2 linked regions of the Schizosaccharomyces pombe genome follow. The gene in region 2 interacts genetically with the main gene of each other region. Each region holds a gene or a part of one and is shown on either strand. Other genes may lie near its edges. The genes, in order: ate1 and ade10.

Region 1 (3,926 bases), on a different chromosome or scaffold from region 2:
TTTGTTGCTCAAGATAAGGCGTTACTGACTATGAATGTTACCCGTCAAGAAGCTGCTGATGCTTTGCATTCTGTTGGTTTTACTGCGGAGATGCAGGAAAATCCTGTTGCTTCTTTATCTGGTGGTTGGAAAATGAAACTGGAGTTGGCTCGTGCCATGTTGCAGAAAGCTGATATTTTGCTTTTGGATGAACCAACAAATCATCTTGATGTTGCCAATATTGCATGGCTGGAAGCATATTTAACCTCTCAAAAGAATATTACTTGCTTGATAGTTTCTCACGACTCTTCATTTTTGGACCACGTGTGTACTGACATCATTCATTATGAAGGTGTTAAAAACCAGGCAAAAAAGCTTGGTTATTATCAAGGTAATCTTTCAGCTTTTGTCAAGGTCAAACCGGAAGCTAAATCATACTATACATTGACAGCCACAAACGAGAAGTTTGTTTTTCCACCTCCCGGTATCTTAACTGGTGTGCGCTCAAACACACGTCTCATATTAAAAATGACAAACGCTTCTTATACATATCCCAACGCGAAGAAGAAGTCATTAGATAATGTTACCGTTGGGTTATCTTTATCTTCTCGTGTTGCCATTTTAGGTCCTAACGGTGCTGGTAAATCAACGCTTATTAAAGTTCTTATCGGTGAAGTAATCCCTCAAGAAGGAAAAGTTTTCAAGCATCCCAACTTGCGTGTGGGTTACGTTGCTCAGCATGCCTTTCATCACTTGGATCAACATCTGGAAAAAACGCCAAGTCAATATATTCAATGGCGTTATGCTGGAGGACAGGACCGCGAAGTTTCAGAGAAGGAATCTCGAAAACTTACCGAAGAAGACCGTGCTCAGCTTCAGCGTGATATTACGGTCAATGGCGAACGTAGAAGAGTGGAAGCTTTGATTGGCCGTCAAAAACTAAAAAAGTCATTTCAATATGAAATTAAATGGTTTGGGAAGCCTCATAAATACAATACGTGGGTGTCTCGAGAAATATTGCTTGAAAATGGGTTTCAAAAGTTTGTACAGGCTTTTGATGATATGGAATCTTCTCGCGAAGGTCTCGGTTTCCGTGAATTGATTCCCGAAGACATCAGGGCACATTTTGAGGATGTGGGCCTTCCTGGCGACATTGCTGATTACAGCCCCATTAGTAGTTTGTCTGGCGGTCAAAAGGTTAAAGTTGTTATTGCTGCGTGTCTCTGGAATAACCCCCAGCTTTTGGTTTTGGACGAACCTACAAACTTTTTGGACAGAGATGCATTAGGTGGTTTAGCTGTTGCTATTCGTGATTGGGAAGGTGGGGTCGTTATGATTTCACATAATGAAGAATTTGTTTCTGCGTTGTGTCCTGAACACTGGCATGTAGAAGCGGGTAAGGTTACCGGTAAGGGCAAGACCGCTGTTGACGATGGAAAGTTTGAAGATCTGTCGGAGAAAGATTTGAAAAAGATTGAGGCTAAAGCTACCAAAAAGAAGAAATTGACGAGAAATGAAATCAAGGCCAAAGAAAGACGTGCTAGAGAGAGAGAATTAGCATGGTTACAATCTCCCAAGGGCACCGAAAAACCCAAATCATTCTTCTCTGATGATGAAGAATAATTTCAGACTAATTTTTTAATTCGCTCTTTGGATTGACAAGTTGAGAGTTGTTTATCCTTTAATTTTCTTTAGACGGTGCTAGTTGTTGAAGTTGGTCTTTTACATATTTACGGTTTACTGATATACCTTTTAGACTTAATTTATATATATAGAACTTGGTGGATGGTATCGTGGATAATATTAATATTAGTCGCTTTTTATATGTTTTGTTTATCGTTAGTGCATGTTATAGTTGTATTAGACGTATACACTTTTGTCATTGACTCTTGTAAAAGGTGTCAAGAGAACTATGTATTTTTTGGGTTTTTTTCTAGATATTCGTATGAAAATGTGATAGACTTTTTAATATGATTAATCAGGAAATTTCTATAAACATGCACTCAACGAAAAATAGGGTACTTAATCTTCAAGAAATAATTGGTGTAGTCTTAGTTCACCTACTCAAAGAGCCTTCAAAATAAAGGCAAAAGAACTGAACTAAGAGTTTTACTACTGATGATATAGTTCATTTAATATTAAACAGGGAAATTTTCAAACAATAGTATGGTATTGGATAAACTGTTGTACACAGGGTACAACGTCAGTACTGAATGTGGTTATTGTAAAAGTGGAAGAAAGACCGAGCATTTTGGTTTATTAGCAGAAAAGCTCAGTTGTGAAGTAAGCGTATAACTCTGCTTTTTGCAAATTTTGCTAACCTACATTTAACCTCAGGACTACCAGCGATTGATTGATTTGGGATGGAGGTAAAAACCTTTATTAGTTAACATTGCTAATATAAAATAAGACGTTCAGGACATTATTTATATAAACCCAACGGGAAAACATCTTGCTGTTCTCTTTATACAATCAGGTACTTAGCATAAGTCGCCAAATATGATTGATTACTAACCGCCGAATGTTGAAGACTCGACAGCTATAATTTTAAAATTGCAAAAGAGCAAAAGAAGGCAATAAAAAAATGGGTCAAATATGTAAATGGAAAGCCATTAAAACCTATGAAAAGCGAAATTAGCACAGATTATTTGAACAATGCCTTTCAAACTATAGAATCGCTCGGAGCTGAAAAATACTCTGTAACTATGGAGCCTTGCACTTACACCGATGAGAAATTTGAAGTCTTCAAAAAGTATCAAATGCAAGTTCATTTAGAGAAAGAAGAGGAAATCACGAAAAAAGGATTTAGCAGGTTTCTTTGCAACTCTCCTTTATTTAATGAAGACAAGGGGATAAAGTATGGTTCTTATCATCAGATGTATCGATTTCAAGGAAGGCTTGTGGCAGTTGGAGTTTTAGACTTGCTACCACATGGTGTTTCTAGCGTTTATCTGTTTTATGATCCTGATATGTCTAAGTTTTCTCTGGGAAGGATTAGTGCCTGCCGTGAAATCTGGCTTGCTCTTGAATGCGGATATCGGTACTACTACATGGGTAGGCTAAAATGTCATTTATTTAATTACGTTGATTGACCTTGCAGGTTATTATATTCACACATGTCCCAAAATGAAGTATAAGGCAACGTATAGTCCATCGTACCTGCTTAATCCCGTACGTATACATTCGATTTTAACTTGAACTAATACAAACAGGGTACAAATAAATGGATACCAATTGAAAACTTTACTTCACTTTGGAATACTGGTGCTCCTAAATATATAAGTTTCGGGGATGAAAATAATAGTGATATTCAAACTGCTGTTGACTACGATTCTTCTGAAGATTCATCTCAAAACGAAGATGATTATACACTGTTTAATCGACAGCTTCCTGGAATTCTTTCAGTAAATGTTGCTGAGTCCTTGGTTTCGGAGAATTTTGCTAACATTGGCAATTCAACTTTCCCCACAAGAGTATGTCTTTATTTTTGAGTAACAATGCTAATTCTTCAGCATGTTTTAAGTTATTTCCCTCAGGTTAAACATTGGTTTGTTGAAATCAATGCTGCTGTGGGCGAAGAAGTCGCAAAGAGTTATACACTTGTTTTATCTAGTTGATATATTATCTGTCTACGTGTTTTATTTGCTTAAGATATGAACATCCTACTTAAAAATCTTAATGAACTCCAGGATGGCTTTGAGAGTAAATTTTACAATGTGACTTACAGAATTAAGTTAATTTTATGCTACTACTTATGTGTGATAGTTTCCTCTTTTATGTCCCTTAATCGAAGTTGATAGCATTTCTAATAATATAAAATACTGCCGGCTTATATATTTATTTTGTAATTATTTATAACTGCACGCTACCTAAAATGTCACCCTAACATAACTTAGTGGGCTTTTCCGTTACGAGTTGTTTGCAACCAAACACAAAAACGGGTTTAC
Region 2 (3,926 bases):
GCATGGAAATCCGGATGCAAGTTTCAGACTATTTGAAAGAAAAGATACAAGCATTGCGTTATCGTGCAGATCATGAAGAGCCGGTTCCAGGGGGATACAAAAACATTTCTGTTCTTCGTATGAATTGCCAAAAGTTCCTTCCAAATTTCTTCGAAAAAGGGCAACTCTCAAAAATGTTTTTCTGCTTTCCAGATCCTCACTTCAAGGCTCGTAAACATAAAAATAGAATTATCACAAGTACTTTGGCAAGTGAGTATGCTTATTTCATTCGACCCCATGGAACGCTTTATACCATTACAGACGTGGAAGAGCTACATGTTTGGATGGCTCAACATCTCGACGCGCATCCCTTGTTTCGACGATTCACAAAAGAAGAAGAAGAAAACGATATATGTGTTACATTGATGACAAACGAAACAGAGGAAGGGAAAAAGGTTGCACGTAATGGCGGAAAGAAATTTGTTGCATGTTATGAGCGCATTCCAAATCCAAAATAACTTAATAATTGGGCTGAATAATATAGGTTTAAAATAACTAAATTAACATTTATCGCTAACATCATTACACTTTCGCATTGACTTACTGTTTAACTACTCATTTACAAAATCCGTACCTATCCTCAAGCTGGCTCCGTAAATAAGAGAGCTCTTTGCAACTATCCTTTTAACTCCATGGCAATATATTATGAATGCTAAATAAAACAAGAAATCTAGTAAATTTGCAAAAGGAGTAATTTTACATGTTAAGTGCCGAATTTTTGGGATTTTGAAATAAAATCAATTTGTACGGTAATATGACCTACAGCTCTCTTAAGTATTTTCAAGATACTATATTATTACTTGCTACATAATACTTCAATAACCTAAATGATCGAAATTTCAATAATTTTTAATGACTATTTGACATTCTTTAACAGTATACTAGGGCAGGGTTGTGACTGTCCAAGGATTATATAAGTAGAAGCTCATAACAAGAGGTGGTTTGTCAATTACAAAACAGAATGTAAGTAATTTCAACTTGAGTTTTAAAACGCTGAAACAATGTTAAAAATATTACTATGATGAGCAATTTGTGTCGCCCCTATCCGAAATCTGTGACGATTGACCCGGAAGCCAAATCCGATCTCTGAATATTTCTATTGTTTCAAGTGCTTTTCCATGAAATCTTATTATTTGAATAATTTACTAACTTTTTTTTACAGATTCTTATAAGCTTGAGCAAAATAAAATTAAATTCTTCTTTTTGACTCTTTAACCGTGTGTGTGTACTTTCATTTTTTTTTTATAAATTGCATCTTTTTGTAACGATTTGTTTTTGAATTTTAATTTGAAAAATGTTCCTTGCTAGTGATGTTTTTCTTTTATATTCTATGCTAATCATGAAATCTAATGATTATACTTTTATTTATAAAGACTGAAGCAAGCAATTTAGTATTTCAAAAATAAACAAGCAAAGAGGTTGTCGTATCTAAAAATTGAATGATTTTACGTGAGTTAGCTCATACGATGAAAGTATTTTTTTCTGTAATATCAGTATTGCATGATTGAGCTGTAGATTTCTGAGAACCAAGAATCAATAGCCGATGGCCGGTTTCATTATCATCTTTGTATATGATTAACACATTAGGATATTAGTAGAAAATGCTCAGACAATGACTGTAAGTGAATTTGGTGATTGACTACATGCACGATTGATCATTGCCTGTTAGGTCTAAAAGAGCAACACTCAAAACAGACTGGCATGTGGATTTAACCGTTGTCACATTCAAACTCCATTTGCAGTCACTATTGCTTCGAACAATACTTGAATTTTTCCATATGAAGTCAAAACATCGACATGAACAAAACTAGTAGCGTAGTCTAACGTATTGAAGAAAATTACCCTATTACATGTAACAGACTCTTCTGTTATCACAAATTCAGACATAATGAGAGACTGTTAGCAAACCTTATAAATTTGTTGGTTTTCGTTATCAATCAATAGCGTGTTTTTGAATAATAAGTTCTTACACTTAAAGTCGTACTTTGGGGTGCAGCAATTTTCAGCTGAACTAACATCTAAAACTTTTAGTTTGGTCGCAAACGGGATTCTTGGATAAAAATGTATGCTTTGTTAAGTGTCTACGATAAAACTGGCTTGTTAGAACTTGCCAAAGCGTTAACAAGCAAAGGCGTTAAGCTTTTGGGCAGTGGTGGTACTGCCAAGATGATCCGTGAGAGTGGAATGGAAGTCGCTGATGTATCTTCGATCACCAATGCTCCTGAGATCTTGGGTGGTCGTGTAAAGACCTTGCATCCTGCTGTCCATGGAGGCATTCTTGCTCGTGATATTCCTTCCGATGAAAAGGATCTCGTTGAACAAAGCATCGAGAAGATCGATATCGTGGTTTGCAATCTTTATCCCTTCCGTGAAACTATTGCCAAGCCTAACGTTACCATTCCTGAAGCTGTTGAGGAAATTGATATTGGTGGAGTTACTTTGTTGCGTGCCGCTGCAAAGAACCACGCTCGTGTAACCATTTTGAGCGATCCCGCTGATTATGCGACTTTCACTGATAAGTTTTTGTCAGACAAACTTACTCAAGATGACAGAAATACTTATGCTTTGAAGGCCTTTGCTTCTACTGCTTCTTACGATGCTGCCATCACTGATTACTTCCGCAAGCAATATGCTGCTGGCGTTGATCAATTGACTCTCCGTTATGGTGCTAATCCCCATCAATCTCCTGCCCAAGCCTTTATGGAACAAGGACCCCTTCCTTTCAAAGTTTTATGTGGTTCCCCTGGCTACATCAATCTTATGGACGCTTTGAACTCTTGGCCTTTGGTCAAAGAGCTTCGTGAAAACATCGGTATTCCTGCCGCTGCTTCCTTTAAGCATGTTTCTCCTGCCGGCGCTGCTGTTGGTCTACCCTTGTCTGATGTTGAAAAGAAGGTATACTTTGTTAGCGACATTACCGAGTTCACTCCTTTGGCTTGTGCTTATGCTAGAGCCCGTGGAGCTGACCGTATGTCTTCCTTTGGTGACTTTATTGCTCTCTCCGATACAGTTGATGTTTGCACTGCTCGTATTATCTCTCGTGAGGTTTCCGATGGTGTTATTGCACCCGGTTACGAGCCCGAAGCCTTGGAGTTGTTGAAGAAGAAGAAGGGTGGTAAATACTGTGTATTGCAAATGGACCCCAAGTATGTTCCCGCCGAAATTGAGACTCGCCAGGTCTACGGTATTAGCTTACAACAGCATCGCAACCATGCCAAGATTGACTTCAGCCTTTTTGAGAAAGTTGTTAGTAAGAACAAGGATTTACCCAAATCTGCTCTTATTGATTTGGTTATTGCTACCACTGCTCTTAAGTATACTCAAAGTAACTCTGTTTGCTATGCTAAGAATGGTATGGTTGTTGGACTTGGTGCTGGTCAACAATCCCGCATTCATTGCAACCGTTTGGCCGGTGATAAGGCTGATAACTGGTGGCTTCGTCATCACCCTAAAGTCTTGGGTATGCAATTTAAGAAGTCTGCTAAGCGTCCTGAGAAATCTAACGCTATTGACTTGTACGTCCTTGATGCCGTTCCTGCTGAAGGTAGTGAACGTGAGCAATGGGAGTCTGCATTCGAGACTATTCCCGAGCCTCTTACTAAAAAGGAGCGGGAGGAATTTTTGGCTACTTGCAAGGATGTTGTCTGTGCCAGTGATGCCTTCTTCCCCTTCCCTGACAACATCTATCGTCTTGCCCAAAGCGGTGTCAAATATGTTGCTGCACCTGGCGGTAGTGTCATGGATCAAGCTGTTCGCGACACTGCTAATGAGTTCAACATGGTCTTTTCCGAGATCCCCTTGCGTTTGTTCCACCATTAATCTTGTTTGTATACCTAATTTTTGACCACTATTACTATGGATATAATTTTTTTTGTTCTGTATATTTG

Evidence for each region.
Region 1: mutations in ade10 (region 2) and ate1 together harm fitness less than expected from each alone (positive genetic interaction), as found in Schizosaccharomyces pombe (one large-scale study listed by BioGRID).

The regions. Positions count from the first base shown.
Region 1 is NC_003424.3:2,076,950-2,080,875, reverse strand, and holds ate1 (arginine-tRNA--protein transferase), read left to right. Parts: upstream 1-2,032; 5' UTR 2,033-2,145; coding exon 2,146-2,262; exon of another isoform or gene 2,263-2,316; coding exon 2,317-2,348; exon of another isoform or gene 2,349-2,389; coding exon 2,390-2,455; exon of another isoform or gene 2,456-2,509; coding exon 2,510-3,033; exon of another isoform or gene 3,034-3,079; coding exon 3,080-3,150; exon of another isoform or gene 3,151-3,191; coding exon 3,192-3,452; exon of another isoform or gene 3,453-3,491; coding exon 3,492-3,596; 3' UTR 3,597-3,769; downstream 3,770-3,926. Other genes in the region: AAA family ATPase Elf1, read left to right, coding at 1-1,602.
Region 2 is NC_003421.2:947,764-951,689, reverse strand, and holds the start of ade10 (bifunctional IMP cyclohydrolase/phosphoribosylaminoimidazolecarboxamideformyltransferase), read left to right. Parts: upstream 1-2,043; 5' UTR 2,044-2,100; coding exon 2,101-3,858; 3' UTR 3,859-3,926. Other genes in the region: tRNA (guanine-N7-)-methyltransferase catalytic subunit Trm8, read left to right, coding at 1-497. UniProt on the Schizosaccharomyces pombe protein: Bifunctional enzyme that catalyzes the last two steps of purine biosynthesis.